Saccharomyces cerevisiae S288C: one gene and its partners. Changing the gene in region 4 together with the main gene of any one other region gives a genetic interaction. Each region holds a gene or a part of one and is shown on either strand. Other genes may lie near its edges.

Region 1 (8,765 bases), 230 kb from region 4:
TATCTCCTGATGAATACGAAGAAAGGAATGAGTACTCTTCGTTAGTGGATATGTGGTCAATGGGATGTCTTGTGTATGTTATCCTAACGGGCCACTTACCTTTTAGTGGTAGCACACAGGACCAATTATATAAACAGATTGGAAGAGGCTCATATCATGAAGGGCCCCTCAAAGATTTCCGGATATCTGAAGAAGCAAGAGATTTCATAGATTCATTGTTACAGGTGGATCCAAATAATAGGTCGACAGCTGCAAAAGCCTTGAATCATCCCTGGATCAAGATGAGTCCATTGGGCTCACAATCATATGGTGATTTTTCACAAATATCCTTATCACAATCGTTGTCGCAGCAGAAATTATTAGAAAATATGGACGATGCTCAATACGAATTTGTCAAAGCGCAAAGGAAATTACAAATGGAGCAACAACTTCAAGAACAGGATCAGGAAGACCAAGATGGAAAAATTCAAGGATTTAAAATACCCGCACACGCCCCTATTCGATATACACAGCCCAAAAGCATTGAAGCAGAAACTAGAGAACAAAAACTTTTACATTCCAATAATACTGAGAATGTCAAGAGCTCAAAGAAAAAGGGTAATGGTAGGTTTTTAACTTTAAAACCATTGCCTGACAGCATTATTCAAGAAAGCCTGGAGATTCAGCAAGGTGTGAATCCATTTTTCATTGGTAGATCCGAGGATTGCAATTGTAAAATTGAAGACAATAGGTTGTCTCGAGTTCATTGCTTCATTTTCAAAAAGAGGCATGCTGTAGGCAAAAGCATGTATGAATCTCCGGCACAAGGTTTAGATGATATTTGGTATTGCCACACCGGAACTAACGTGAGCTATTTAAATAATAACCGCATGATACAGGGTACGAAATTCCTTTTACAAGACGGAGATGAAATCAAGATCATTTGGGATAAAAACAATAAATTTGTCATTGGCTTTAAAGTGGAAATTAACGATACTACAGGTCTGTTTAACGAGGGATTAGGTATGTTACAAGAACAAAGAGTAGTACTTAAGCAAACAGCCGAAGAAAAAGATTTGGTGAAAAAGTTAACCCAGATGATGGCAGCTCAACGTGCAAATCAACCCTCGGCTTCTTCTTCATCAATGTCGGCTAAGAAGCCGCCAGTTAGCGATACAAATAATAACGGCAATAATTCGGTACTAAACGACTTGGTAGAGTCACCGATTAATGCGAATACGGGGAACATTTTGAAGAGAATACATTCGGTAAGTTTATCGCAATCACAAATTGATCCTAGTAAGAAGGTTAAAAGGGCAAAATTGGACCAAACCTCAAAAGGCCCCGAGAATTTGCAATTTTCGTAACCAAGGACAAATACCCATAGAAAATGCTGCCCCTTTTTAAGAGAGAAGATGGTAGATACCAATACTCAGAATTCATCTATTCATAACTTTTTGGGTTTTTATTACATATAGAGTGACGTTTTGATACGATTTACATTTTGAAATATATAGATTTTTGTATATTAATAAGTTTTGATTTTCAGTTTTAGTTATGCTTAATGAATTTTTGAATCAGAAAAAGAAGTTCTGAAAAAAACATAATCCTGCTTGATGTGGTACAACAAGCTCATAAATAATTTTAAAAAGTTTGTTAATCCGTTTTCAATATCTTGAGCTCCTCAATTGTATTTGCTGAGGTCTGATTATTTCTATAACCAAAAGCGGTTATTGAATCTATGGAGAGGCTGTAACCCGTCTTATGCCTTCCGGGTACTATATTTCATTTGCGGGTGTCGATGGATTAAGGGGCGGAGGCGGCCCTTTTTAGGATTTATATAAAAAGCCATACTTCCGTACTTCGTAACCTCTTATCAACTGGTTAAGGGAACAGAGTAAAGAAGTTTGGGTAATTCGCTGCTATTTATTCATTCCACCTTCTTCTTTTTTGAGCGAAGCCTTTATAATCAAATTTTAGTGGTCTTTTCTATTTTTATTTGAGAAGCCTACCACGTAAGGGAAGAATAACAAAAAGTATATCTCACCCTACTGTATTCATAAAAAGTTTTTTCTATTAGAATTCTATAAGAAAAGAAAAAAAAAAAGCCTAGTGACCTAGTATTTAATCCAAATAAAATTCAAACAAAAACCAAAACTAACATGTTCAGCTTGAAAGCATTATTGCCATTGGCCTTGTTGTTGGTCAGCGCCAACCAAGTTGCTGCAAAAGTCCACAAGGCTAAAATTTATAAACACGAGTTGTCCGATGAGATGAAAGAAGTCACTTTCGAGCAACATTTAGCTCATTTAGGCCAAAAGTACTTGACTCAATTTGAGAAAGCTAACCCCGAAGTTGTTTTTTCTAGGGAGCATCCTTTCTTCACTGAAGGTGGTCACGATGTTCCATTGACAAATTACTTGAACGCACAATATTACACTGACATTACTTTGGGTACTCCACCTCAAAACTTCAAGGTTATTTTGGATACTGGTTCTTCAAACCTTTGGGTTCCAAGTAACGAATGTGGTTCCTTGGCTTGTTTCCTACATTCTAAATACGATCATGAAGCTTCATCAAGCTACAAAGCTAATGGTACTGAATTTGCCATTCAATATGGTACTGGTTCTTTGGAAGGTTACATTTCTCAAGACACTTTGTCCATCGGGGATTTGACCATTCCAAAACAAGACTTCGCTGAGGCTACCAGCGAGCCGGGCTTAACATTTGCATTTGGCAAGTTCGATGGTATTTTGGGTTTGGGTTACGATACCATTTCTGTTGATAAGGTGGTCCCTCCATTTTACAACGCCATTCAACAAGATTTGTTGGACGAAAAGAGATTTGCCTTTTATTTGGGAGACACTTCAAAGGATACTGAAAATGGCGGTGAAGCCACCTTTGGTGGTATTGACGAGTCTAAGTTCAAGGGCGATATCACTTGGTTACCTGTTCGTCGTAAGGCTTACTGGGAAGTCAAGTTTGAAGGTATCGGTTTAGGCGACGAGTACGCCGAATTGGAGAGCCATGGTGCCGCCATCGATACTGGTACTTCTTTGATTACCTTGCCATCAGGATTAGCTGAAATGATTAATGCTGAAATTGGGGCCAAGAAGGGTTGGACCGGTCAATATACTCTAGACTGTAACACCAGAGACAATCTACCTGATCTAATTTTCAACTTCAATGGCTACAACTTCACTATTGGGCCATACGATTACACGCTTGAAGTTTCAGGCTCCTGTATCTCTGCAATTACACCAATGGATTTCCCAGAACCTGTTGGCCCACTGGCCATCGTTGGTGATGCCTTCTTGCGTAAATACTATTCTATTTACGATTTGGGCAACAATGCGGTTGGTTTGGCCAAAGCAATTTGAGCTAAACTTTTCTTACTTCTCCGCCCTATCCTTTTCTGCCATCTAGAGAGCTTTTATAAGTAGATAACAATAAAAAAAACTATAGTATATTTAAAAAAAAAAAACAAGACAAACCATCTTGTCCTCAGTTTTAGAATCCATTGTTCTATGCTGCTGCCCATAATGTCATTATATGCGGGTAGCCCGATGATGCGGCTCGAGAATTTCCTTGTTTATCCTTTTCCAATAGCGGAACAATTGATAATAAAGCAATGTAAGCAGAAGCGAAAAATAAAAAGAAATAGGCTGCAGAGATTCACAGGCTGCGCTCTAGAAACATTTGAAATCAAGGCAAACATAGAACACTTGATAAAATTCTTACCATAATACCACCATTGATGATTCAAAAAATGAGCCCAAGCTTAAGGAGGCCATCAACGAGGTCTAGTTCTGGTTCAAGTAATATCCCACAATCGCCCTCTGTACGATCAACTTCATCGTTTTCTAATCTGACAAGAAACTCCATACGGAGCACCTCTAATTCGGGTTCTCAGTCGATTTCTGCATCTTCCACTAGAAGTAACTCCCCACTAAGATCCGTATCAGCCAAATCCGATCCCTTCCTTCACCCAGGTAGGATAAGGATCAGGCGGAGCGACAGTATTAACAACAACTCGAGAAAAAACGATACATATACTGGGTCAATCACTGTGACCATCCGGCCGAAACCACGGAGCGTTGGAACTTCCCGTGACCATGTGGGGCTAAAATCGCCCAGGTACTCTCAACCAAGATCCAACTCACATCACGGTAGCAATACATTTGTTAGAGACCCCTGGTTTATTACTAATGACAAAACAATAGTGCATGAAGAAATTGGAGAGTTCAAGTTCGATCATGTTTTTGCTTCCCATTGCACTAATTTGGAAGTTTATGAAAGAACCAGTAAACCAATGATTGATAAGTTATTGATGGGGTTTAATGCCACCATATTTGCGTACGGTATGACCGGGTCAGGTAAAACGTTTACAATGAGCGGAAATGAACAAGAGCTAGGCCTAATTCCTTTATCTGTGTCGTATTTATTTACCAATATCATGGAACAATCAATGAATGGCGATAAAAAGTTCGACGTTATAATATCGTACCTCGAAATTTACAATGAAAGGATTTACGACCTGTTAGAAAGCGGATTAGAAGAATCCGGTAGTAGAATCAGTACTCCTTCAAGGTTATATATGAGCAAGAGCAACAGCAATGGATTGGGCGTAGAATTAAAAATCAGAGATGACTCTCAGTATGGGGTCAAAGTTATCGGTCTCACCGAAAGAAGATGTGAAAGTAGTGAAGAATTATTGAGGTGGATTGCAGTTGGTGACAAAAGTAGGAAAATTGGCGAAACTGACTACAATGCAAGAAGCTCACGATCTCATGCCATTGTACTGATTCGTTTAACAAGTACTAACGTAAAGAACGGCACCTCAAGATCGAGTACATTGTCGTTGTGTGACCTAGCAGGTTCGGAAAGGGCTACGGGGCAACAAGAGAGGAGAAAGGAAGGTTCATTCATCAACAAATCCTTACTTGCTTTGGGGACTGTGATATCCAAACTCAGTGCCGACAAGATGAACTCAGTAGGCTCAAACATTCCCTCGCCATCTGCAAGTGGCAGTAGCAGCAGTAGTGGAAATGCTACCAATAACGGCACTAGCCCAAGCAACCACATTCCATATCGTGATTCTAAATTGACTAGATTATTGCAGCCGGCACTAAGCGGTGACAGCATAGTGACAACGATATGTACAGTCGACACCAGAAATGATGCGGCAGCGGAAACTATGAATACGCTGAGGTTTGCATCAAGAGCGAAAAACGTCGCACTTCATGTATCCAAAAAATCCATCATCAGTAACGGGAATAACGATGGAGATAAAGATCGCACCATTGAGCTACTGAGACGCCAATTGGAAGAACAACGTAGGATGATCTCTGAATTGAAGAACCGTTCAAACATTGGCGAGCCCTTAACCAAATCTTCCAATGAAAGTACTTATAAAGACATTAAAGCCACCGGCAATGATGGTGATCCGAATTTGGCTCTAATGAGAGCGGAGAATCGAGTATTAAAATATAAACTAGAGAATTGTGAAAAACTACTAGATAAAGATGTGGTTGATTTGCAAGATTCTGAGATTATGGAAATTGTAGAAATGCTTCCCTTTGAGGTCGGCACCCTTTTGGAAACAAAGTTCCAAGGTTTGGAATCACAAATAAGGCAATATAGGAAATACACTCAAAAACTTGAAGACAAGATCATGGCGCTAGAAAAAAGTGGTCATACTGCAATGTCGCTAACTGGGTGTGACGGCACTGAAGTGATCGAATTACAGAAGATGCTCGAGAGGAAGGATAAAATGATTGAGGCCCTGCAGAGTGCCAAACGACTGCGGGATAGGGCTTTGAAACCACTCATTAATACACAGCAATCACCGCACCCTGTCGTGGATAACGATAAATGATTAGGTGAGGGTCCCAGATCTCGGGTGCTTTTTTCCTTGTGCGGATTGTTCTGTAGACTGCGCCTCCGCTTGCCCGGCGCTTGCCTTGAACGGGATCTATTCTCAGAAGACAGCGCATAAAAGGCAGTTTTTAGGCACTTCTCGTTAAGAAAATACACAAATAATGGATTTACGAAGTTCGTTTCAGTGTGGTACCAAAAAATTTGGCATCAGCTAATAAAGATCAAGAAGTTTTGGGGTTGTTTCGAGTCTGTCTCGGCCTTAATTGTGCAGGTACTAAAGGGATTAATATATAAAGATTGTTAAGGCCAAGTGACTGAAACTTGCAAACGTCTTTGAATCAGGCTTATCTCTTAAATACTTATATATATGTTCTTTTATAGACTTCATAATCTCTTGTTCCAAGAACAGTAAAGAGCAATTAAAAAAAGGAAAATAACAGTTAAAGATGATAGCGGATTCATCAGTTTTGAAAAAGCACACAGCAATCAAGAGAAGTACGAGAATAATATCGCTAACACTCGTTTTGCTTGGCGTATTTAGCTTCTTACTACTTACATGGAATGACTCCTTGGAATTCTACAACTCTGCTGACCCTAGCGAAAACAAAAAAAATAGTGAGGAAGAAAGTGAAAAGAAGTTCGTTTACAAGTTGCCAAACTTATTAAAGACAGCAGACAGTTTTCTAAGTAATGAAAATGAACTAAATTTCCAAAAAGTCAAAGAAGAAATTTCAAATATTCAAAGCGAGGTTGAAGTCGACATCCCAGAACCCTCATCCAAAGCTACATCAAAATTTTCTTCAAGATCGTTCCAAACTGATAATGTCGTGACGGCGACGACCACAACAACACTAAATCCACGGTCATCTTCTCTGGCCTTGCAGAAAAACTGCGATCACAAAAAATTCGACCCTAGAACAGATTTTCTAGATATAATAAGAACCTCTCCAGCGGTATTATTCATTAAATCATCACAAGCAGACTCCATTTTCTTAAAAAATCTATTACAAAGAGAATTTGAGATTTCACCCGAATTGGCCACTGTTGATTTGGAAAAACACTCTCATGGCTATGAATTAGAAAAGTATATCAAACAAAATAAACTAAATATCGATACTAGTGCTGCCTTGGAATCCATTCAGTCGCCTTATTTATTTTTGAATGGTATTTCCGTGATAAATCGTGGAATGGTGAGAGATATAATCGAACCTCATTCGAAGGGATTGCTACTACCTCTTCTAAAGTCTGAAGCGCGTGGCAACTTGCTGGTAGAAAAAAAAGACATCCCTTCTAATTCTTAATTTGTTATCACTCCTATCGACGAGCAGCCGCAGCTAAAAGAACGTTTTAATTATTCCCAAATTCACGTAAGCGATCCTCTTTATGTGCTATATATACATTCATAACATAGTCATTGCATTTTCTATCATACGATTCAACTTGAACAAGTGTTTAACCATTTACGTCGTAAATGTCTACAGTATTATCTTTGGTCGTTGTTGTGGATTCATGCTTTTTTCTTTTCGAGAGCTCTTCGTTTTCAGAACTCAGCTCTTCCTTTTCGGACGACTCCCTTCGACTATTCTCCGTACTTGCTGGTTCGTAGTTAAAAAAGCATTCCCCCCACATGCAAAATATTCCTTTCATATATCCATTCTCCTTTACATATAATACTTTACATTTGGCAAATGGACCTAGTACTTTCCTCGTAGCTCGAGAAAGCTGGTTCAAATCAGAGTTCCTTGGCAAAAACATAATCACATTAGGGCTTAGTTTAAGAAAACTTTTCAACATCTTGGTAATCCCCATAGGCTTTAGATGTTGCTCTAAGTCATACACATCGTTTCTTAAGTATTCTGGACCACCCCACGGGGGTGATCCAAATACACAGTCGTACTTTATTTTGGAAAGTTTCTGCTTAGAGACTAGCTTTTTCCAGGATCCCCGCTTCAGCCATATTCTGTCGTCCACACCGTAGCTTTGGGCGTTTTTCGCAGTACAATATATGTGTTCAATACTGTAGTCCACTCCATAGACGTAAGGAAATTGCATGGCAAATTGTATGGTGTTCCCGCCCCCACCACAGAAAACATCCAGTATTCTTTCGGCATTTGGCATGCATGCCTTAACAAAATTTGCCAGGAAGCAGGCAATTCTTTCGGGCGTCACACTGAACCACAGCTCATCAGTCATATATATCGACGCCGAATCTATCTTTGAAAACAATCTACGCCTATTTTTCCAGTATTTGAAAAGTTTACCATTTTTCAACGGTTTTGATGATTCTATCTTATAGGCATCATTGTTCAATAATTTGATCAGAGTTCTAAAGTTGGAATGATGTTTTCTTTTGCGTGCCGCATGTTTTATTTTCGAAGCATGAATAAATGTCCTTCCCATCACTTCAGTTAAATCAACAAAAATTTTTTCTTCTACTTCTGTCTGTTGCCCCCACAACACGGTATATAATATGGGCAATCAATACAACGAAAAACTTACTCGCTGTTTGCGGAATAACTCACTTCCCCTTCATATAGTTTGGTGCGATGCCTTAGAATTTTTCATACATTGTTTTCATGTGGAAAATATTCAAAAAAAGCGATGGCTGGCGAAGATAAAAAAAAGGCTGCTCCAGCCATTCATTACACAGGCAATTCAATATTTCGGTTAGTAAGATAAAGAAGTCGATATGCCTATCCTTAAACATGTTCAACTGGGATAACCAGATTGCTGGGCTTTCAGCAGGTCATCAATTCTTGTACAAATATGTTGTATATATAGATTTAAGTGCTTGATAATTCGGTTGACAACTTAACGGCTTAACAAGTAAAACAAGAACAATTAACTTAACAATAGTGCTCAAATAAATTTGGCTTATTATCACAACAAATATATCATACGGAATG
Region 2 (7,771 bases), on a different chromosome or scaffold from region 4:
TTGCTGATCGCTGCGGTTGAATACTTCAAGTATGGTACAAGAATTAACTATGAATGGTTCCATTGTACCCCAATCAAAGAACCCCAGTCTGGCTCAGTAATCAAGCTTTGGGCACGTGGTGGGCCAAGTTGTGACAAAAGAGGCGAATATAAAACTATAGTAAAGAGAATCACTAGAGATTATGAACCAAATGATGAACATCTCTCGTTCTGTATCATCGAGAATGATAATGTTCCACCCGTCCACTACCCAATTCACGAAGATAAAGGTGAACCTGGCTACGTAGCTTATGTCGGGTACGACACAGACTCTGAGCTGGTTCAAGAACTATGTGCTGATTCCACAATTTATCACATGTGAATTCTTTCTTTTACATACATAAACATAGAAGAAATCCAACCCTGATATAGGGATTTATAAATGCGTGTGCATATCTATATTTATACATATAAAGAGAAAAAAATTGCTCATGATAAAAGAAGTATCGCCTGCCCACTTTCCTAAATCCTCGAATTTTCCCTATATTTTGCGAACATTTTGCCTAATTCCTCTTGAATATTAACTTTGAAAACTTCTAAAGGATATAGTTTATCAAGGTCGATACCAGAGGTTGTTTTCCTATCTTCTCTGATTTTATCAATTGTTGGTATAAAGTCCATATATCGGGCCAAAAAGTGTTGCTCTTTCACCTCAGTAGGCTCAAATCTTTCGTCTACTGTTTTTATCAATCCAATAGAATCGCACCCCTTCGGTATTAATATCTCACTGCGTTTGACCATTTCAATATGATCTTTCATATCTCTATCTTCACAAAAATGCTTTAGAAGCTCTTGGTATTTAAGCCTTTGTGCTTCCTCTCGTTTCTCTTCGGTATGGTCTTCGCATATATAGAATAGTGAGCTATCATTAAAATAGCAAAACGATCTTAACGTTTGCAAAATGAAGTCAATATGTACTGACTGCCATACTGTAGTGTGTCTTTGTAAGTTTAATATTTCGCCACTGTTTAAGCACCATACAGAAAATTCATTATCGTCATTCAGTTGCTTAATTTTATTGAATGCGTAGGATAGTTCATTCAGCCACAACTTTTGGTCGTTCAGTGTCCAATCTAATAATATGAGCCAGCGAACCTTCGAACTATGTTCTTGTAAAAACGGCTTTAGAAGATCTAGTGCATCGTCAGTGTTTCTTATTAGCGTGTAAACATCGACAGAATAATTTTCCTTTAAGTCGTTGGTCCATCCTATGGTGGCGTAATTAATCAAAGTGGTATCCAGTATTGAATTGCTTCCCTCTGGAAAACAGATATTTATAAATTGATGCAGTGTTTTACTTGATGGGGAATATATGATTGCTGTTATCGTAGCAGTCTCTGTGCTGTTGATTGTGGATTCATTCTGAGACAATAATTTGTCCCAGGCATTACAATTATCCATTAATACATACAATTCTTTTATCTTCTTTTCTTTTTGTACAAGTTGCGGATTACTTCTCTTTGTTTACCTTTTTGCTTTTATTTTTTTTTTTAATACGTGCATATATATATATATATTTAGTTTAGGTCAGAATACAAAGATAATTATGTATAAATGGGCGCATTTGGAAACTATTTTACATACAACTGAACAAGTTCGGAACAATCTATCAATAATCTGCACAATTATATAATCCGATATCGACTTCAGCCTTCATATCTGATGAATTATTTGCGATCGATTCACGTTTTTCTTCCAATTCTTGAATATAACCGTCTTCAACACCAGTGACATAATTTCCGGTAAATACACCATCTTCGAATTTGGTTATTTTATCAGTTTTACAACAATCAATCAAATCTTCCAATGATTGGTAAATGACTCTTTCACAACCGATTACTTCCGCCACTTCTTCATCGGTTCTGTTATAAGCAATCAAGTTCTTTGTGTCTGTTAAGTCAATACCATAAATATGGTTGTAACGAATGGCTGGGGCAGCTGAAGCGAAGTAAACCTTTGTTGCACCGGATTCCTTGGCCATGTTAACAATCTCTTTTGAAGTAGTACCTCTGACAATAGAATCATCCACTATCAGAACCTTCTTACCCTTAAATTCAGACTCCATAGGGTTAAGCTTCCTCCTTACTGAAGAAACCCTTTCCCTCTGGTTTGGCATGATAAATGTCCTGCCCACGTATCTGTTTTTAACAAAGCCCTCTCTATAAGGCTTCCCTAACACATTAGCACATTCTAGTGCACATGTTCTTGCAGTATCTGGGACGGGAATAACAACATCAATATCTTCTGGCTTCAGTTGCTTTAGAATATTTTCCGCTAATTTAGAACCCATAGCCAATCTTGTGTGATAAACTGATATTCCATCCAAGACACTGTCCGGTCTGGCGAAATATACGTATTCAAATAAATCAGGTCTATAAGAGTTAATAGGAACCACTTGTTTGAACTCAGGTTCACCTTTGCTACAGTTCTTAGGGATGATAACTGCCTCGCCAGGCTTTAAGTCACGATATTTAGTAAAGTTGTGAGCTTTGAAAACAACACTTTCTGAAGCTAACATATAGTCCTTAGTGCCGTCCGGATTTTCTCTTTCACCGAACAATAATGGCCTAATACCATTTGGATCTCTGAAACCAAATAATGCAAAACCGGCAAGTAAACCAACGCAAGCATAACCGCCACGGCATAAACGGTAAACACCTTCTAACGCGTGGAAAACATCTTCATTGTTAACTCTGTACTTGTTATGTTTTTCCAGTTCAGCAGCAAAAATATTCAATAGTAACTCCGAATCACTGTCCGTGTTAATATGTCTATGAACGTCTTCATCCATATATCTCTTCAATGATGCAGTATTCACCAAGTTACCGTTATGTGCCAAGTTAATACCGTAAGGACTATTGACGTAAAATGGTTGCGCTTCTGAATTAGCCGAAGACCCGGCTGTAGGATATCTCAAGTGGGCAATACCCATGGAACCAGCAAGACCGGAAACACGTTGTTGGGTAAATACGTCACGAGCCATACCATTACCTTTACATTGGTAGATTCTACCACGAGAACCACAGGTAGCTATACCAGCTGCATCTTGTCCACGATGTTGTAGAAAAATGCATCCATCACATAACTCCGGAGCTACTGGAGTGGTTTGGTTTGCTAATACAATACCTAAAATACCACACATTTTTTCTATTCTGCTGTTTGCTGTACCTCTTTCTTTGCTAAACTTATTAGAACGAAATCTACTACTTTCAAGACGATGTCTTCGCAACTATGACTTAAAAGTGAATAAAATTGTACGGTGGCTGTTGAAATTTTTCTAAAATGAAAAAAAAAAAAACGAAGGACTTTACCTTGACTTAATAATAAGAATCTGAAAAGTACAAACCTATTATTGAAATTGTAAGTAAGCAAACTTTAAATACACCGAAGCTCTGACATTTGCCGCATGAGCAGTCATTCGGATTCATGATCCCAGATTATATTTTATTATTCATGTTCGTTCTAACTCTGTCCTGTTATTTTCGGTCAGGAAGAGTCAATACATCGGGTCATTGAAAAACCGCGGAGAAAGATAATAACTTTTCTTTTTTCCTTAAATCTTGAAAAACTTATACATGTATAAATCAATATTTACTTACGAGCGTTCATAGTTCTTGCTGGTCTTTTAGTTCATTCTCTAAATGATCCAGATCTTCTTGTATGGTCCAAAGTTCGCGGTACAATGACCCTGGCATAGCCAACAGTTCAAGATGCTTACCTTCCTCTCTTACTCTTCCGTTGTCAAGGACTATGATCTTGTCTGCATCTGCAATTGTCCTCAGTCTATGTGCGATGTATACACTCGTTCTCGAACCCGAAGTAAAGTTATCTCTAATGGTTCGTAAGAGAGCTTGTTCTGTGTGTGTGTCCAAGGCGCTTGTGGCCTCGTCAAAAAACATGATCCTTGCATTCTTCAATAGTACCCTTGCAATTGCCAGCCTTTGCTTTTCACCACCGCTGATCATCAACCCTCGCTCCCCGACGATGGTGTCAAAACCTTGTGGTAATTTCTTGATTAAGGGTGCTAGCTGGGCTTTTTCAACTACAGTTATCACTTCCTCGTCGGTTGCGTCAATACGACCGAACTTTACATTTTCCCAGATAGTGTCATTGAAAAGTGGTGTGTCCTGTGGTACCACACCAATCACCTTCCTCAAGGCATCGATGTCATATTCTTTAATATCTCTACCGTTTATGAGGATCCTTCCGCTTTCAGGATCATAAAATCTAAAGACTAATTTTAAAATGGTGGACTTCCCACTGCCCGAAGACCCAACTATTGCGGTTTTCCAGCCTGCTGGGATGGTAAAGCTGGCATTCTTTAAAATTTTCCTATCGGGATGATATCCAAACGTGACGTTCTCAAAAGTAATATCGTAGGGAACATTTTCTGGAAGCATTAAGGGACGTTCGGCATTTTTAATCTTGACTTCATTTTTTCTTAACTTAAATAGCGTTTCCATATCAATCAGAGACTGCTTTAAATCTCTGTAAACACTACCAAGAAAATTTAGCGGTACTGATAGTTGAAAAACCAACTGATTAATTAGAACCAAGTCACCAACTGTCAAGTTGCCACCAATAACGCCGGTGCAACCCATATACATCATTGCAGTTAGGGCAGTAGTAAAAATTAGATTTTGGCCGGAGTTCAAAAATGCTAGAGATTGCGATACTTTAATTTGAGAGTCACGATAGTTCATCAAGGAGCCATTATACTTATCTGCAAGATATTTTTCATTGTTGAAGTATTTTACCGCCTCAAAATTAATTAAAGAATCTAAAGCCACACTGGCAGCTTTGTTATCGGCCTTGTTAGCATCCCTTCTAAAATGTGTCCTCCATGCGGTCGTCTTTATAGTGAAAATGGAGTATAAAAGCATTGTACTGAATGTTATTGCGGCAAATGACGCACCGAATTGATACGTCAAAATCCCACAAACGACAGATATTTCAAAACTTATAGGGATAATGTGGAATACCATGGCCGTTAACACTTGAGATATACCCTTTGTACCTCTATCCATGGCCCTCGTCAGACCACCCGTTTGTCTACTCAAGTGCCATCCCAAATCTAACTTCATAAGGTGCTGGAAAGTTTGTAGCGACACAGTTCTAATGGCATTCTGTGCCACTTTGGCAAATACGGCGTTCCTCAGTTCGCCGAATAAAACAGAGCCGAACCTTGCAACACCATAGCAAAGAATGGTTAATCCAATCGCTGCCGGAAGGGCGACTGTAGGATCATCCCATGCTATATTCATTGAATCAATAGTTTGCTTGAAAAAAAAAGGTACTTGAACATTTAAAATTTTGGCGGATATCAACAGTCCAAGGGCAATCAGTACCCTTATCCTCACTTTATTGTTGCCTTTGGGCCAAATATAGCGAAATAGATCTTTCAAGATTTTCAGTTCCGAGAGGGTTGGGGCCTTGCTGGTCTTTTTTACCTGAGTCTTCACTTTTGGAGCCGACGAGAATTGCTCGACGGATTTTTTGTGCGTAATATCCTTTTGTGCTTGATTCCATAAATTCACAGCTGAATTGAATAACAGAGGCCGCTGGGTTGATAACTTAGACACAGTAAATATAACGGGCGAATGGTTCCGGATTAGACCAGATCTAAATTTTGATCTTACAATTCGCCCAATTACAGGACATCTTGGAAGAAGCAGCATTTGCAGGTTGGAGTGGAATCTATCAACAACGATATACTTACGTTGCTCTGTCGCAATTTTCGAAATTGTACTCTTTGCTGTGCTGATTGCTTTGTTTGCGATTATTAATGTAGAAAGTCATCGGAAAGCCCTCGCGCTCTTTCCCAGTGAAATTTCACGTGATGTAATCTGATGAAGGGCACGTATAGGTCAGTGACCTTTGCTGTGCAAATTGGGTAAGGTAATTTCTTTTAAAGACTTTAAGAATGGTAAAGTGAGGTACAACAACATATTATAAGACTTACTTGGTATGTACCTTACCTTCCTTAGATATTTTTCATGCTGCGTAGAAAATTGCACCATCTCCAATCGTCACTTTTATACATTTTCAAAAGAATATAGATGAGTATAGCAATATAGGGTTTACACATATGTACAGAAAAGCAGAATAGTAAGTTTTGTTTCATCACTTAGATAGGTTTTTAATTTCTTCTTCACATTTGGTAATGACTGCATTACTGGCATTGATTTTACCGGATAAATAGTCCAATCTGGTCTTGAAAAGTTTCTGATCAGGAACTTTCCCCAAAGGTTTTAATTCTTCTTCCCATTTCTTGATTCTACCAGTTTCAAAACCCACAACCTTTAATAAGTAACGGGTTTTTAGCACTTTTGCGAGTTCAGGATCGTTGATCAAGTATGTGAATGCTGCCCTGTATAGCGGTTTGGCAGGCCTGATTTCCTGTAAAACACCCCTATCTCTAGATACAGTTATTAAACCATTATTCTCCAATTCCATGATTCCCGTTTCTGGTGCGGCTTTGAATAATGGCTTGTTAACGATTTCATGGAATGGAATGACTGGGTTCGCACTCAATAATTCGATTAATTCCCAGGCTTGTGCACTTTTATTGCTGTCAATCTTGTCACTTAAAAACATTTGAGTTATTTGCTCAGAAGCCTGTTCAATCATTTTGTCTACTGCTTCCGAGGGCTCTTCTCCTGACTTTACCCTTCTTACAAATGCCTGTAAGTCTAACATCCTACCACCCAATGGCTCTAAAGAAGCGTCAATTTCCTGTAATTCCTTTTCATTTAAAATAACCTCAGCTTTTTTGACACTCGTATCGGCCTCACTATCAGAATCATTATTTTCAGCAGTTTCCTTTTCTGATTCAGGTTCTTTTACGTTTTCACCCTTGGATTTTTTATTGTAATATAAGTAATCCTCCAATTGGGATAATACATAGTTCCTCGAATTCTCTTTTGAGGCATCTGATAGGATTAGGTTTTTGAAGACTTGATTGGGTAGTGATTCGCTCAATCTTTGGTTGGATGCAACGGTTTCCGTTAAGAAAATCACATGAGCAATATTCATTTGAACTAGCATAGCTGCCCAATCGGATAGTTCCTTATACACAAATCCATTTATTTCCGACTTGCCCTCAAACCTATCTATGACGATAACGGGTTTAGCTTCCGGATGTTGCTGTAGGTAATCTTCTTCCTTAACATTAACTGTCCCATCACCGGTGGAAACAAAAGCCTTGTAATTCTTGAGAGCAATACGTCTAATGGACATCAATGAGGTAGTTAACATGTTTCTAAACCGAGATTCCTTCGTCTCAGACAACCCAGTTTTTTGCCCTGTTAATCCTTGCACTGTTAAATCAAGGACACCTGTGACAGAGTCAATCCATGGGAATATTGGGAAATAACCCAATTGACTAGCGGCATTTTTTAAAAACATAGGATCTGTTCTGGACTTAATCAATTTATCACAATCCAAATACAAAACATTTGCTCTATTTTGCAAAGTGTGTTGCATGACCAAATCATGTTTCCCTGAACCTCTAGGCCCCCTTATAACCACAAAAGTATTATTATTTTCTTCAAGCCACATTTTCAGGTCATTCACTTTCTCTATTCTTTCCTCCCATAAATGCTTTCTTTGGTGATTATCATCAGGGCCGCCCCAGTAGTACTTGATAGAAGTCATGGTAGATGAGGTTAGCGTTTTCAGTTGTTTCCAAAACTTATTGTCCCACGATAAAGAATATTTGTGAGTGATCTTCT
Region 3 (8,089 bases), on a different chromosome or scaffold from region 4:
CGATACTGTATCGTATTTCCCACAGAGCTGCCCGACAAATTTCTTCATGTGCTCTATGTTAGATAATAATGGAAGGTTGACCAAAAACAAACAGTCAGACTCGTTGGAATTTGAACTCTGGTGTCTTTTAGCAAACATGAAATGCAACGAAGCTTCCTGGCTTTTGGGTAGTGCCTTGTGATCCGGTAATTTGAACGGCACCACTATAAACCCGTTCTTCATGGCGCTAATGTCTTCAATACCCATCCCGTAACACTCTATCTGAGGTTGTTATCTGTTACCTAGTTCGTTCGCCCTAAATGCCTCTTGCTTTACCATCCTCTCAATGTTCTCTTCTTTTTCCTGCTTATTTCTTAGGTGACCAAAAAGTGAAAAATTTTCCAATTTAACTTACGTCGTTCGAAGTGATGACAATAAGGATATTCATTTATTAATCGCTATTTGATACCCACTCTTGCTACTACCTCTCTTTTAATCCAAAATTACAATTTTTACGTTACCATTCATTACATAGTGTATCTCTATTCATTCAAGACTGTATTTTGTTTGATATATATATGTATATATACATATTATTTTCGTTAGTGTTCGGTTTCCAAGTTAGAAATAATCTACTGGAAATCCTTTGGGATCAACCCAAGCTTACTCATTCTGATTTTCACAGCGTTTCTGTGACCGTCTAGACCCTCCTTCTTGGCAACGCACATAACAGCTCTACCGATGTTTTCTAAACCTTCAGGGGTAATGTTTTGGGCAGTGATAAACTTTTGGAAGGTTGCAGTGTTGGCACCACTGTACTGCCTAGCGTAACCATAGGTTGGTAATGTATGGTTAGTACCACTTGAATAGTCACCGCACGATTCTGGAGTGTAAGCACCCACAAATACGGACCCTGCATTGTCAACCAATTTAACATAATCGTTAGCATTGGCGATTTGTAGAATCAAATGTTCTGGTGCATATTGGTTGGACATTTCAAGGGCTTCTTCGTAACCGTCACAAAGAACGATCGTACTGTGAGCAATACATTTACGAACAATATCCACACGTGGCAGTTGTAAAGCTTGATTGTGGACAGCATCTTGAATCTCTTGAATTTTCTTTTCGCTCAAGTTAACACCAACAAGGATAACTTGGGAGTCAATACCGTGTTCAGCTTGCGATAGCAAATCACTTGCAACAAAATCCACATCGGCATCTTCATCGGCAATAACCAAAACTTCACTTGGGCCAGCTGGCATATCAATGGAACATAGAGCTTGAGTGTCATTTTGAACATACATTTTGGCGGCAGTCACAAATTGATTACCTGGACCCAAGATCTTATCCACTTTAGGAATAGTTTCTGTCCCGTAAGCCATAGCAGCAACGGCTTGGGCACCACCAGCTAGAACAATCTTGGAAGCGCCAACTTTTTCTGCGACATAAACAACTTCGGGTGAAACTTTACCATCAGATTTTCTTGGTGGAGATGCAAACACAATCTCCTTACATTGGGCAACTTGTGCTGGAACACCAAGCATTAATGCAGTACTTGGTAAAATGGCAGTGCCACCAGGGATATACAAACCAACTTTTTCAATAGGACGAGGGAATCTGGAACACAAGACACCAGGTTGGGTTTCAACTTCAAGAGTCTCTGTTGGCAATTGAGCAGCATGGAATTTGCGGACGTTTTCAATTGAAAGGTCCAAAGCTTCCTTCATTTCCTCGGTTAAACCTTCAAAGTATTCTTCTGGGAATGGAGCATTAAGAACAGGATTGGATAATTTTACACCATCAAACTTTTCTGTGTACTCCAAAAGGGCAGAGTTACCTTTGTCTCTAACATTTTCGATGATCGGATTGACTAAATGCATAATTTCAGAAGTCTTTTGGATTGGTCTGCTCAAAGCCTTCTGCACACCAACTTTGTCGGAAGCCTTCACCACGTCCAAGTGAATTGGACCGGTCAGTTTTTCTTCTTCAGCCTTTGGTTGTCCAACAAACTTTGGCTTAGCATCACCTTTCCGTCTTGTAACCTTCAGATGCTTCATATTCAGATTATTCTCGACGTCCTTCAATGAAACATCGTTGGCCACTAATTTGGCCAGTGCAAAGTAGAACAAATCGGCAGCCTCCCAAGAAAGCTCCTTCTTACCCTTTGCCTCAGTCAGTTCTTCAGCTTCTTCCTTGATCTTGGCATCTAACAATGCAGAGTCGTTGAATAGTCTTCTAGTATAAGATTCCTCTGGAGCGTCCTGTAGCCTTTGTTTTAGTAAAGATTCTAGCCCCACCAAACCATGCTTGAATTCACCAAAGCAAGACATGGTCTCCAAGTGGCAAAATCCAACGTTTTCTTGTTCAACGATAAACTTTAAGGCATCCGAATCACAGTCAGTAGAGATTTGTAAAAGCTTTTGGCCATTGCCAGAAGTTTCACCCTTGATCCAGATTTCATTCCTAGAACGAGAATAATAAACGCCACGACCCAAATCGATGGCCTTTGCTATAGATTTCTTCGAAGAATACACCAACCCTAGACAACGCTCATATTGGTCGACAACTAGGGTGGTATATAAACCGTCAGGACGGTCTGTACGTACTTCACCAAGCACTTCTTTGGTCAACATATCCTTGCTTAATTTCTTTATGGACACAATTTTATCTTGCGAGAATTTTTGTTTTACCATGAATTGATTGGAGAAAACACCGTTCTCTTCCACAACAACACGCTCCTTTGGTACATTCAATTGTTCAACCAAGTGTTCGGCTGTTTTAGCATCTTGGCTAGCAATGAACAGAGAAGAAACTCCGTTGTTCAAGAAGGCAATGATTTCATCATCGCTGAATTTACCACTTGGCAAGGACAAAGCCACCAATGGAACTTCTTCCTCTTTGGAGAACTGGAGAATCTCTTCATTACTCAGGCTCGAGCCATCCAAAAGTACCTGACCAACAAGTGAAACGTATTCCTTCTTACTATTCCATGAGGCCAGATCATCAATTAACGGTAGAATCGGCAAAACCATTATTCAGAAAAAAAATTTTGTAAACTATTGTATTACTATTACACAGCGCAGTTGTGCTATGATATTTTTATGTATGTACAACACACATCGGAGGTGAATATAACGTTCCATATCTATTATATACACAGTATACTACTGTTCATAGTCATATCCTTTTCTTACCTTCTATATCGAATGACTGATAAAAAAACGTGAGTCACTGTGCATGGGTTTAGCAATTAATTAACTAATTTACCGGAGTCACTATTAGAGTCAGTTCGACTGCCTAGAAGAACTGCTGGTTGTCAGGATTGTGATGGGGGCATTCTGCTGTATTATGACCCATCGTATCGCAATGCTCACACCACTGTTGTCTTCCTGCCGTGGTATCGACTGGTGCAGGGGGGTCGAAAATTGGCAACGATTCCACGGCTGTTTGTGCTTGAGCCTGTTCCAACTGTTTGATTTTTTCATTAGCCTCTTCAAGTTTTTTCGTTAAGGATGCCACCTCTTCCGATGAGGAATCTTGTGGTTTTGTCAAAAATAGTTCCTTGCTCAAATTTTGGTATTCTTTACTGAGCGAATCGTTATGCATTTTCAATTGTTCGCGTTCTTTAGCCCACTTTGTCTTGTGTAACTCAAATTGGTCTTCTATGTTGCGTAATTGTTCCAGCTGTTTTTTCAGGAGTTCGACATCTTCGTTGGCACCAGTGGGTTGATTATGAGAAAGATTTCTCTCTTCGTTTTCTTTGATCTCTTCGTGTAGTTGGCTTACGACAGCAAGTAGCTGTTCATTCTCAGCGTCAAAAAACTGCTTTTGTTTGGCTTGCTGTCTGCGTTCGAGCTCCAATTGTTGCTTGAGATGGTCTATCTCTTTCTCTCTTTCTTGTATTGTGGCTTCATACCTATCAAAAGTCGGTTGCACTTCTTCGAGGACCATTCTTTGGTCATCGAGTAGCCTTTTGTAGTGTAGTTGTTTCCTTTGTAGCTTTTCGATGGTCAATTGGGCTTCTCGTAATTCAATTGTAACTTCGCTGCTATTGAGGTCATTCATGTGGCCATTGTCCGGTTTCCAATCGCTGGTGGTGTTGTGATTAGCCTTTCTGTCTGATGACAGGATAGAGTCGACCTCCATTCTGTCTTCTCTGTTATCGTAACCAAATTCTTGCTGTTGATGGTGATCCGATGCCTCCTGGTCCATCGACTGTTGATTACCGCTGTGCCGACTGGTGATCCGGAAACTTCTCATGGGTGTGGGGGATTTAGGATCATCCATGGGAGAGAACTGGTTAGTGAGCCTCACAATAGATCTGTTTTTGGGTATTGATAGCGGTTCCATTGTCGTTCTTCTCGAGGTTTGCGATATCGATGCCTTCTCGATCAATGATGCGACTTTTTGCAACTGAATAAATAGTCCACTTTGAGGATACTCCGTTTGAAAATACTTCTTCCCCATGAATGATCCATCGTTCTTACCAATGTTGGCAAGTAAGTCTACACCAGCAAACATTCCAGCTTTCGTGTCCACTGGACCCACGTATTTCAGTTGTCCGCGCCCCAAATTTGGGATTTGTATGAAACATCCTATCTTTCTTTGATATCTATCCATGGTATTTCAAACGCATACACAGCCAGCCACAGCTCAACGCCTTTTACCTTGTCCTTTGATGCCTGTCTCGTCCAAACGTTTTTGGTGTCTTGGCCAATTGCCCTTCTGAAAAATCTCACTGTCCGCAACTCATTAAAAGATACCCAAGCAAGCTACACGATAAAGAAAGGAGAAAGTTCATTAAAAGAACGTACATATAGCGATACAAACGTATAGCAAAGATCTGAAATGGATACGGATAAGTTAATCTCAGAGGCTGAGTCTCATTTTTCTCAAGGAAACCATGCAGAAGCTGTTGCGAAGTTGACATCCGCAGCTCAGTCGAACCCCAATGACGAGCAAATGTCAACTATTGAATCATTAATTCAAAAAATCGCAGGATACGTCATGGACAACCGTAGTGGTGGTAGTGACGCCTCGCAAGATCGTGCTGCTGGTGGTGGTTCATCTTTTATGAACACTTTAATGGCAGACTCTAAGGGTTCTTCCCAAACGCAACTAGGAAAACTAGCTTTGTTAGCCACAGTGATGACACACTCATCAAATAAAGGTTCTTCTAACAGAGGGTTTGACGTAGGGACTGTCATGTCAATGCTAAGTGGTTCTGGCGGCGGGAGCCAAAGTATGGGTGCTTCCGGCCTGGCTGCCTTGGCTTCTCAATTCTTTAAGTCAGGTAACAATTCCCAAGGTCAGGGACAAGGTCAAGGTCAAGGTCAAGGTCAAGGACAAGGTCAAGGTCAAGGTTCTTTTACTGCTTTGGCGTCTTTGGCTTCATCTTTCATGAATTCCAACAACAATAATCAGCAAGGTCAAAATCAAAGCTCCGGTGGTTCCTCCTTTGGAGCACTGGCTTCTATGGCAAGCTCTTTTATGCATTCCAATAATAATCAGAACTCCAACAATAGTCAACAGGGCTATAACCAATCCTATCAAAACGGTAACCAAAATAGTCAAGGTTACAATAATCAACAGTACCAAGGTGGCAACGGTGGTTACCAACAACAACAGGGACAATCTGGTGGTGCTTTTTCCTCATTGGCCTCCATGGCTCAATCTTACTTAGGTGGTGGACAAACTCAATCCAACCAACAGCAATACAATCAACAAGGCCAAAACAACCAGCAGCAATACCAGCAACAAGGCCAAAACTATCAGCATCAACAACAGGGTCAGCAGCAGCAACAAGGCCACTCCAGTTCATTCTCAGCTTTGGCTTCCATGGCAAGTTCCTACCTGGGCAATAACTCCAATTCAAATTCGAGTTATGGGGGCCAGCAACAGGCTAATGAGTATGGTAGACCGCAACAGAATGGTCAACAGCAATCCAATGAGTACGGAAGACCGCAATACGGCGGAAACCAGAACTCCAATGGACAGCACGAATCCTTCAATTTTTCTGGCAACTTTTCTCAACAGAACAATAACGGCAACCAGAACCGCTACTGAACGATGATTCAGTTCGCCTTCTATCCTTTGTTTACGTATTTGTTTATATATATAACTTTATTTTTTTTTATTAATTGGGCTGCAAGACAATTTTGTTGTCAGTGATGCCTCAATCCTTCTTTTGCTTCCATATTTACCATGTGGACCCTTTCAAAACAGAGTTGTATCTCTGCAGGATGCCCTTTTTGACGTATTGAATGGCATAATTGCACTGTCACTTTTCGCGCTGTCTCATTTTGGTGCGATGATGAAACAAACATGAAACGTCTGTAATTTGAAACAAATAACGTAATTCTCGGGATTGGTTTTATTTAAATGACAATGTAAGAGTGGCTTTGTAAGGTATGTGTTGCTCTTAAAATATTTGGATACGACATCCTTTATCTTTTTTCCTTTAAGAGCAGGATATAAGCCATCAAGTTTCTGAAAATCAAAATGGTAGCAACAATAATGCAGACGACAACAACTGTGCTGACGACAGTCGCCGCAATGTCTACTACCTTAGCATCAAATTACATATCTTCGCAAGCTAGTTCCTCGACGAGTGTAACAACAGTAACGACAATAGCGACATCAATACGCTCTACACCGTCTAATCTACTCTTTTCTAATGTGGCGGCTCAGCCAAAATCATCTTCAGCAAGCACAATTGGGCTTTCAATCGGACTTCCCATCGGAATATTCTGTTTCGGATTACTTATCCTTTTGTGTTATTTCTACCTTAAAAGGAATTCGGTGTCCATTTCAAATCCACCCATGTCAGCTACGATTCCAAGGGAAGAGGAATATTGTCGCCGCACTAATTGGTTCTCACGGTTATTTTGGCAGAGTAAGTGTGAGGATCAGAATTCATATTCTAATCGTGATATTGAGAAGTATAACGACACCCAGTGGACCTCGGGTGATAACATGTCTTCAAAAATACAGTACAAAATTTCCAAACCCATAATACCGCAGCATATACTGACACCTAAGAAAACGGTGAAGAACCCATATGCTTGGTCTGGTAAAAACATTTCGTTAGACCCCAAAGTGAACGAAATGGAGGAAGAGAAAGTTGTGGATGCATTCCTGTATACTAAACCACCGAATATTGTCCATATTGAATCCAGCATGCCCTCGTATAATGATTTACCTTCTCAAAAAACGGTGTCCTCAAAGAAAACTGCGTTAAAAACGAGTGAGAAATGGAGTTACGAATCTCCACTATCTCGATGGTTCTTGAGGGGTTCTACATACTTTAAGGATTATGGCTTATCAAAGACCTCTTTAAAGACCCCAACTGGGGCTCCACAACTGAAGCAAATGAAAATGCTCTCCCGGATAAGTAAGGGTTACTTCAATGAGTCAGATATAATGCCTGACGAACGATCGCCCATCTTGGAGTATAATAACACGCCTCTGGATGCAAATGACAGTGTGAATAACTTGGGTAATACCACGCCAGATTCACAAATCACATCTTATCGCAACAATAACATCGATCTAATCACGGCAAGACCCCATTCAGTGATATACGGTACTACTGCACAACAAACTTTGGAAACCAACTTCAATGATCATCATGACTGCAATAAAAGCACTGAGAAACACGAGTTGATAATACCCACCCCATCAAAACCACTAAAGAAAAGGAAAAAAAGAAGACAAAGTAAAATGTATCAGCATTTACAACATTTGTCACGTTCTAAACCATTGCCGCTTACTCCAAACTCCAAATATAATGGGGAGGCTAGCGTCCAATTAGGGAAGACATATACAGTTATTCAGGATTACGAGCCTAGATTGACAGACGAAATAAGAATCTCGCTGGGTGAAAAAGTTAAAATTCTGGCCACTCATACCGATGGATGGTGTCTGGTAGAAAAGTGTAATACACAAAAGGGTTCTATTCACGTCAGTGTTGACGATAAAAGATACCTCAATGAAGATAGAGGCATTGTGCCTGGTGACTGTCTCCAAGAATACGACTGATGAAAATAATATTGACGTTCGCATTTAATCTATACCTATAATTCTGTACTTATATACTGTTCCTTAATTG
Region 4 (8,934 bases):
AATCTGGGTCTCTTCAGAGATAACCATGAATTTTATAAATGTGAGGTCTGTATCTTTCAATGTGATAGAAACTTCAGCATCCCATATTGGGTTGAATCCATTCCCTTGAGAACTCTTAGTGGATGCTTCAGTGGCAGAAATCCTTGTACCCTTATCGATTGAGATGGGCATTGTCGGCTCGTCATCGGTATGAAACTCCACTTTAACAAAGGAATTGGTGTTATTTCTGCTTGGCGATGTATCATTCAATCTGGGCAATAACTGTGTAGATAAAATTCGAATTTTAACAGTAACAGGATCACTACCATTTTCAAAATGTTCGTAAATTAATGGAATCATTTTCGCCTTTGTTACTACAGGTAGCAACTTTTTTGGTTTTAGCACGTATCCTGATTTAAAACTTCCATCAGGTTGGTGATCTAATATTTGAAACATTGCCAGATTAAGTTGCTGTCCAATATCATTAGTTTGCCAATTCGTAGCCACCATTTGTACACCGGCCTTCCAAAAAGGTATTGGGTTAAAATTTGATGATTTGTATCGTAAAACGTGAGGATAGACTCTCATCAAATATCTTCTATTATGTTTATCCAACGATAATTTTAAGTGTTTGTCTTTTATCATGTATTCTACTTTGCGCTCATTCAGTGAAAAACAATGCGCTATCGTTTTGGACTCTGGTAAAGAGAAATTCCTGAACTTGATGCCATGTATTCCAGAAATGTTAGAAACATCATTAATTATATCAGCGTGCTTTTTTAATCCAATTCTTTTGATGCGTTGCATACTAGAAGAATTTGTTGCGCTACTACTGTTCGTGGAGTCATCTTTCATTCTTAATTCCTGTTCATTAGCTGATTCGTAAGAAGAACTAAAAGAAGATGGAAATGGCTCATTAACGCTAAGACCTCTAGTTGCTTCACTCGTCTTCTTGGATTTCAACAGTATTTTATGTTTTAATTCCCTTGGTGATGGCAGTTTATCAGTTCTTGTGCCAACAAAGTACAGCTGTTCTGCTAAAACCTCTCTCATTATCAGGCTTGCCAATTTTTGATTATCCTTGTTACAGTTTATTTCCAGTGAAATAATCAAAGGATACGGAGACGTTATAAAAGCGTACTTCTTTATCACGCGTATAACTGTTTTTAAGGGAATAGCTGACGTTAAAAATCCATGGCATACCACTGGCCCATTTTCACCATCCCATATATCAATTTCTACGCACCTACAACCTTGTTGTAGGACTTGAATATATCCCTCCACAGATGGAGTTTCTGCAATTTGTTTCCCCAATAAATAAGTATTATGTGAAGATGCAATAAAATAATGGTTTAATGGCTTTGAATATAACTCCTCTTTAACCTCCACCAAATATGGTTGCTCCTTCAAGAACTTGGTAAAACCATCTTGCCCCATCGTCAGCTGAGTCGGTTCTCTGTACTTAATAAAATATGACCATGCAGTTTGACGATCCACTTGCTCATGCTGCTCTGTAATTAAAAATTGAAAAAAATTTTCAAATGATAAGTGGGAGTGTGGAGGTTTTGTAAATTTAGACCAAATCATATTTACCTCTTTCCTATTCTTTAAGATTTTAATGAACTTTTCAAATTCAAAATAATTTAATAGTCCGTTATGATTGATGTCTGCTAATTGGAAAAACTCTAACAATTGACCAGTTGACACATAAATATGAAATTTATCACATAGTTTCTTCACATCTGCAAAGCTCAATGTGTCCTTTTTCTCATCTTCCTCTTTTTCAGAAACAGTAATTTGCCAATGTATCCTAGCGAATTGCGAATTATCAGGCAAAAGTATGCTTTCCATTAATTCCCTCCTTAACTTCACTAAACCGCAAATGCAGCTTAAGAATGTGTTAAAGTCCAATTCATTCAAAGCAACTACGTGTAACGCTTTCAATTTGTTGGAAACCTTATAAATAATAGCAATCCAAAGTTTACTGTCCGATCTCAATCTTTTCGGATCTACTTCCTCTTGATAAGTACTCGCCGTATCACCGATTCTGATGTCTTTAACGGAGTCTAATTCCAGATACTTCGAACCATCTTTCCATATTATTTGCCCGTTGTTATTGATTAATTTAAATTCATAGAACTTCCTTCTTCTTCTTGTCATCCTAATCATCCTGATTCCTCTTTGCAATACGCGACATAGCGTGCTGAGATCACAGTCTTTTCTTAATTTCTTGTTAACAAGCTCATTTATCCCATGTGAATAAGTAAGAGGCCCCATATGGACTCTAGGCAATTCGGCTGCTCTTCTAAAAATCGACCTTATGCTTCTTCTCACAGTACTTCCATTGTTCGCGCTTTTTTGGTCAGTATTAAAAGAGGATTGAAAAGAACTGTAACTTATAAAATCTAAAGCATCATCCTTTTGTGTTATTTTCCCTTGATCTCTGCATGAGTGTCGTTGTAACTCCTTTGTAAGATTAAACCTTTGGTCATCTATAGCACTTTCAGTCATTCATATACACTGCGTGAATGACCTTACCGTTGTACGTTTATAATTCCCAGTCTTTTATTGTTTTAATGACCTGAGGCTGCTTATGTCGTGATGCTTATACTATTTTTTTTATAAAGCGTCGGGTAAAGGTGTCAAAAACTGTAAAATGAAAACGTGCGGAATCTTCATGGACTATTTAAAATTACACATAATATTACATTATTTAAACTAGTATTACAAATTCTATGAATGGAGAGGGTGAGAGGGAGGATATATAAAAATGTATAAGTATACAGTTTTAGGTTAGTATCAATAAGTTGGGGTTTTATCTAAACGCCCTTCTCTTGGTGAAAGTAACTGTGATAAGGGGGTGGGAGGCCTCAATCGGGTTCTTCTTCTTGTCGAAGGGACCCAAACTTGACTATTAGGTGTCGTGATTTTTGTTGGCGGAGTCTGGAAAACCTTTGCTATCGGTGTGTTTTCTACGGTGACTTTCACCACTTTATCCTTGTATATAGGGATCCTAGAGGGCAAGGACCGGTAATGATTCCATTTATCTTTTTCGATGTCAAGCACAGACTTATTCTTTGCCATCAAAGGAGTTTCTGTAATCTGTACTTTATTTTCATGCCGAGATGTAATGAAGGAGTCTGGTGACTTTTCATTTTCCCCACGAGAAACACGGAGGGTGGTTTCATCGGTTTCGTCATAAGGTAAGGGAGGAACACTACTTAGTATCAGTTTTCCTTTGTTTGGCGACTCCGGATCAAAAAATGGATTAATCGCATTTGATGAATTTGGGCTTGTTGCAGGTTTAATATTCATCTTCTGCAGTAACGCTTTACCAAGCTTTTTACCTTTCAAAGCCACTGTAGTTGAATTTTCCGGTGTTTTATTACTGTCACCTTCATTAATGGCGACTCTCTCCTGGAAATCCTGGGTTATAGTTCCAATAACACTATTCGGTCGCCCAAAGCCTAATGATTTCGGTTTTGGAATCTTCTTCTTGCTAGTAGCTATTTTGTTTGAAGCGGAGGATTTGATTAGAATTTTATCCGCTGTAGGCTTGATATTCAGCCATCTTTGAGCTAATTCATTTGTCTTCGATGCGACGCCAGCGTCCAAAAGTGAGAATTCCAATGCTCTGTAAATAATATTGAATGTCTTAGAAACAGTTTTTGATTTTCTCTCCAATTGCCTCTCGAGCCTTATAGTGATATCTTTGGTATACTTTGTTGTCAGTAATTTCGACTGCAACCTTTCTATCTCATCAAGAATGTATAATAGTTCATGATTTAAATTAATAAAGAGTATATTCCAACGTTTGTCGATTAGTTCGACTTTCAATTCCCTAAACTCTGAATTCATAAATCTATAATCTTTCATTATCAGCTCGTATTTTTTTTGCAAGATTGTTTGCAAAGTAGTTATGTTTGTTATATTCCGGTGCCCAAATTGCACAATTCTTTGAGGTAGGATATCAGTCAAACTTTTTTCAATTGGAGGGATATTTTTTTTTAGGTTCAAGAACTTTCTTGATAAAATATCTTCTGCCGGAGAAAATTTTGGTACCTTTGGCTCAGTTGTCTCCGTATGCGTTCCTAATAACTTGACTAGTTGTTCTAGGGTAAATGATGGAGTATGCCGTATCGGGGACGCGAACCTTTCTTCCTGAATTTCCAGACAATACGATATATTGCTATTAATGATTTTATGTAATGTATCCATATGATCCTTTGAAATTTCGTTAAATTCCAATGACGTATCCAATAATTCCTTCAAGTTAGTAAGCCATGGCTCCAACTGAGTCTTAATTTGTGTAGATTCTTCTATGACGTCAAACATCGGGCTAAATCGATTGTATTTGTCGCTATCCTGATCGTCCTTCGAGAATTCATCCTCTAGTAAATCCAACAAATGAGCAAAACCTTCCTCAATATTATGAACGTCACTAATAAATTGATATAGCATATATTTTTTCAATAATAACCAGTCCATAAACAACAAAATATCGTCTTTTCCCAGTCTTTTCTTGTTGACTAAGTCGGGAATTACCGAGGCAACGTTCTCCAAATCATCATAAAATTGAACTAACAATGTCTCTGATATACTTGTGGTACTCTCATTCAATGAGTTGCAATCGTTTATTGAATGTAATGTATTGTGAATTCTTTCTAAACGTTCACAAAAGTTCTCTTGGAAGTCATCCCCAATGGTCATAGATCTGGGTCCATCATTATCCATGGCAGTGCTACTGAAATCTTTAAGGCTGTTACAGACAAAGATTCGTGCGGCCACATTACACTTTGTTATTGTTTCAATGTTATTTGTTTATGCTACCAAAAGTATCGATTCGGGTAATGAAAATCCTTTTTATTTGGCATTTAACAGTATTATATATAGTATATATTTAAATGTGCGAGATAAGAATGGGTATATGCGATGCGGATGACTCACGGTTGTGGTGTGATCTTAATTGGATTAGCCTCCTTTGCCGCGTCTTTCAGGAGATGTTCGACAGATTTTTCAATATCATCTGAATTATTGTCTTTCGTCTCTGGAGACTGGTTATTGCTGTCGTTATCATGATTATTATCATTATCGTCATTATCGTCCTTTTTCTGGTCATCATGCTCCTTACTCTCATTCAAATCTTCCTTTTCGATGACCTTCTCTATTTGCAGTTGTTGGTCAGATGGCCCAGGAGCCGCTTTCTCATTAAGTAATTGCGATAAAGCACTTGTTGGATTCGCATACAATTCTTTGAATTTGCCCATTTCTACCACTGATCCATCATGGCCAAGGACAATAACATTCTCTGATCTTCTGATCGTACTTAGCCTGTGCGCGATGCTAACAATAGTCATCGATTTTGATTTCATTAGTTGACCAAACGTATAGTTAATGGCTCCTTCACTTTCAACATCTAAAGCTGATGTAGCTTCATCAAGAATCAAAATAGTTGGCTTTTTGATTAGAGCCCTTGCAATCGCAATACGCTGCTTTTGTCCTCCACTTAGTAAGGTGCCGTGAGGACCAATTACCGTATCGTATGTGTTCGGAAATTTTGTGATAAAGTTATGGCAAAAGCACTGCTTTGCTACTGACCTGATTTCTTCCTTTGTTGGGGTATATGTCAACCCATAAGTGATATTATCCCTAATAGTACCTGACATCAGTACCGGCTCTTGCTGAACGATACCAATATGCCTTCTTAGGGATTTACAATTCAATTTAGAGATATCTTGGTTATCTATCGTAATAGTCCCAGTAGTGGGATTATAATATCTTAGCAGTAAGAGTGCAATTGTAGATTTACCACGACCTGAAGGGCCCACAATACAAACACTCGATCCTGGCGCAATTTTAAAATTTAAATTCTTGAATATTTGAACAGAAGGCCTTGTAGGGTAGCTAAATGAAACATCTTTAAATTCGATAACACCACGATCTGGTTTATACTTGTGTCCCACAGTCGGTGAAATGGAAGGTTTCCTATCTGTTAATTCAAACAACCTGGAAGCGGCCCCAGCACCCTGCATAATTTCCGAATAGAAGGTAGAAAGGCCGAATACCGCATTCCCCGTATATTCTGTGTACAGCATAAATGCAGTCAGATCACCAATGGAGAGCTGTGATTGTAAAACAAGATAGGAGCCATACGCAAGGACGGTTAAAAAACTTAGGTCACCTAAGAGACTAGTTGTAGTAAAAAACTTTGCGTTTGTAAATGCCGCAGTTTTTCCCACCTGAAAAATATCTCTAATTGCAACGTTATACCTAGACAATTCATTACCTTCAGCAACAAACGACTGAACCGTCTTGATACCAGAGAGTTGTTCTTCAGCGACTCTAGTCAATTGACCAGTAGCTTCTTGAAGGTCTTTAGAGGTGTTTCTAATTTGCTTCCCGAACACTGAGGCACTAAAAAGAACAGGTGGAGTGAAGAATAGTAACAATATTGATAGTTGAGGTGACAAAGAACACATCATCCCCACGCCAACAACCCCACAAATTAGGGCTTTGACCCCATCCGAGACCTTCTGGGTCATTGATCTTGAAACAACATAAGCATCAGATCCTAAACGAGAAATTAAATCCCCAACTTTATGGTTGTCGAAGAATTCTGCGTCTTGATGAAGCGTTTTTTTAATGACATTTGCCCTTAGGCGTGCAACAACACGCTCACTTAGTATCCTCAATAATATAAATCTACCAAAATTAGCAGCACAACCAATCAGTAAAGCAACAGTAAAAAAGGAAAGAAACTCATATAAAGGCAAAGAAAAAATCGGTATCTTCAAATCAAAAAAATCTGATCCAGATGACGTCTTAAGTGTGTCAAGGACAATACCTATGACTTTAGGAATAGACATGCCTATGGAACATGATATGGTTAAAAGAAGTATGGCTGTAAGAAGCAGTTTCCAATCCCGTTTCGCCAACATAAATAACCTTATTATATCTTTATAGTCATCAGTTTTAGATTGCTCCTTTGCATGTGCCGACCTTGCTGATCCTTTAGATATGGGAGAGGCTGAAGGCAGAGAAGTTTCTGGAACTGTTTTGGATGAATTACATCTAAAACTTTGTAAAATTAGTGATTTTCCAACTGCAGGTGACCTTAAACACAACCGACTGAGAGGAATGAGCTGCGATGAAGAAGGGGTGACCAAAGACCGAAACCTTATAGATGGCAGTTTAGCCAGTCGGGGACGGGACAGCATGTTTCTGCATATGCCCAGCCGCAAAAGTGGTAAACGACCATTCAACATTGCGATTGGCGATGATGGGACATATATTTCTTTTTCTTTTAATGCAATGATACAAACTTTATACCACTCTTCGAAGCGGCCAGTATTCAATATCATTGTAGTCATTATTAGTTTCCCGTATAAAAGTACGTAAGTTTTCATACACAGTTGCTAGAATATTTAAAATGTATATCAGCGAGTAAAAAAAGAGCTGCAGTTCCCAGGAAGCGTTAAACTATTTTGTTATTGGAGTGGGTTCAGAAGCTGCAGTGCCATTTTTATATTGGGTATAAAAAGCATCTGTTTGCGATCTGTTAAGAACACTAGCGGTTTGTAATTCAGTTTTCAATGAAGAACGGATAGCCTGAGCGGCCACATTCAAATATGCAGCATATGATATACCAGCTTTCCTCCAGGCAGACATTTTATGAATCGGTTGTGGGCTGAAACTGTTGATGTTTCTTAGAAATACATATCTTGCTAAGTACTCAATAGAAAGGCCTACTTGTATCTCTTCATTTAACTAGACGAAAAAGGGGAGGATCAAATTTCATTGGTTCGTATAAAAGTATTAAAAAATAAGCGCGTTGCCAGACTTAGTGTGAGATAGTAAGCTAGTAAATCATCTGCTATTACCTAGTTTAGCGTATTTCCTAATAAGGATTACCAATTCCTCAAGTTCATGGCTTGGTAAGATACAGCTATAGCTTTCTTAGTTTTTTTCTTCGAGAGAACTAGTACAATGCTTCTATAGAAGTTAAGAAGTTTACCTTTTCGAAGAACAAATATATTGTTGCTTTGCTTACTCCGAGGTTATCGACTATTTTTGGCAATCCGTTTGAACCTGGATAAATACGTAAATCAGACTTTCTTTAGCCGGATCAACTCTTTTTTTTTTGTAAGCACTCTGACTTGTCGCTGCTGTGTCTGCCAATAATTCAATAATTCATAGTATTTCATACCATATGCTTTATTTAGTGTCCCACTGATGTGAGTTGAAGAATTGTATTCAGATAGGCATATCTTAAGGTCCAACTATTGCCACCGTCGTAGTGCGGAAAGGTTGATTATCGAGCGAATTAGAGGAATAAATGCTGCTATGCGCACGATGAGCAAATCGGAAGTAAACCACGCCGCTGATCCACCTGAACAAAAGAATCTCGCGGAGTTACGATTTAATGTAGGTTTGCTCAGATTACGTTACTGATACTTTACTTTGGACAAAAGTTCTCATACAAACTGTGGAAACAACACCGCTTAAACCAACGATTATGAAATGACATGGTCTAAAGTAATATAATCTATATTAGAATGTGCAGATGGCTATGGTATCCATGCGATGGCAAACCTCCGCAATGATTGGCGTTCTAGCGGCTATCCGAATTCACAATCGACAAGAAGTACTTCTAACTTACACAAGGCAACGAAATAATATCACTCTATGAAACTGCCATTTGGGTAATAGGAGTATATTGAACGACACCGGGTCAACAAGCAACTTTCCTAAGCCTTTTACACTTCTTCACATCATTCAAGATCGCCTTTTAACGAGCTACAAACCTTCACGTTCGTTCTTCTATGGAAACGTTTAAGATAACGTTAAAACGTTCTCAATCACAGAATTTAAGATGATTAGAAATGTTTTCCAAGGGATAGGGCGAAGCACAACCTCGAAAAATGGCAAAATTTTAGAATCTTAGCCACCTTAACG

What was found.
Region 1: mutations in KAR9 (region 4) and KIP2 are lethal when combined (synthetic lethality), as found in Saccharomyces cerevisiae (5 studies listed by BioGRID, with this or other methods).
Region 2: mutations in KAR9 (region 4) and DYN3 impair growth when combined (synthetic growth defect), as found in Saccharomyces cerevisiae (4 studies listed by BioGRID, with this or other methods).
Region 3: mutations in KAR9 (region 4) and BIK1 are lethal when combined (synthetic lethality), as found in Saccharomyces cerevisiae (7 studies listed by BioGRID, with this or other methods).

The regions. Positions count from the first base shown.
Region 1 is NC_001148.4:254,308-263,072, reverse strand, and holds KIP2 (Kip2p), read left to right. Parts: upstream 1-3,736; coding exon 3,737-5,857; downstream 5,858-8,765. Other genes in the region: serine/threonine/tyrosine protein kinase RAD53, read left to right, coding at 1-1,346; PEP4 (proteinase A), read left to right, coding at 2,142-3,359; pheromone-regulated protein PRM4, read left to right, coding at 6,306-7,160; TGS1 (RNA methyltransferase), read right to left, coding at 7,312-8,259; AIM44 (Aim44p), read left to right, coding at 8,763-8,765. UniProt on the Saccharomyces cerevisiae protein: Required for assembly of the mitotic spindle.
Region 2 is NC_001145.3:863,912-871,682, forward strand, and holds DYN3 (dynein light intermediate chain), read right to left. Parts: upstream 1,440-7,771; coding exon 501-1,439; downstream 1-500. Other genes in the region: sphingosine N-acyltransferase subunit LIP1, read left to right, coding at 1-360; ADE4 (amidophosphoribosyltransferase), read right to left, coding at 1,648-3,180; ATP-binding cassette Fe/S cluster precursor transporter ATM1, read right to left, coding at 3,644-5,716; YME2 (Yme2p), read right to left, coding at 6,162-7,771. UniProt on the Saccharomyces cerevisiae protein: Component of the cytoplasmic dynein which acts as a motor for the intracellular retrograde motility of vesicles and organelles along microtubules. May play an important role in the proper orientation of the mitotic spindle into the budding daughter cell yeast.
Region 3 is NC_001135.5:65,323-73,411, forward strand, and holds BIK1 (Bik1p), read right to left. Parts: upstream 4,600-8,089; coding exon 3,277-4,599; downstream 1-3,276. Other genes in the region: RRP7 (Rrp7p), read right to left, coding at 1-246; HIS4 (trifunctional histidinol dehydrogenase/phosphoribosyl-AMP cyclohydrolase/phosphoribosyl-ATP diphosphatase), read right to left, coding at 612-3,011; prion domain-containing protein RNQ1, read left to right, coding at 4,828-6,045; FUS1 (Fus1p), read left to right, coding at 6,481-8,019; HBN1 (putative nitroreductase), read right to left, coding at 8,083-8,089. UniProt on the Saccharomyces cerevisiae protein: Required for nuclear fusion, chromosome disjunction, and nuclear segregation during mitosis. Probably required for the formation or stabilization of microtubules during mitosis and for spindle pole body fusion during conjugation.
Region 4 is NC_001148.4:28,792-37,725, reverse strand, and holds KAR9 (Kar9p), read right to left. Parts: upstream 4,714-8,934; coding exon 2,779-4,713; downstream 1-2,778. Other genes in the region: PLC1 (phosphatidylinositol phospholipase C), read right to left, coding at 1-2,490; ATP-binding cassette permease MDL2, read right to left, coding at 4,923-7,244; ATP15 (F1F0 ATP synthase subunit epsilon), read right to left, coding at 7,459-7,647. UniProt on the Saccharomyces cerevisiae protein: Involved in karyogamy. Component of a cortical adaptor complex that orients cytoplasmic microtubules. It may be involved in anchoring cytoplasmic microtubules to the cell cortex.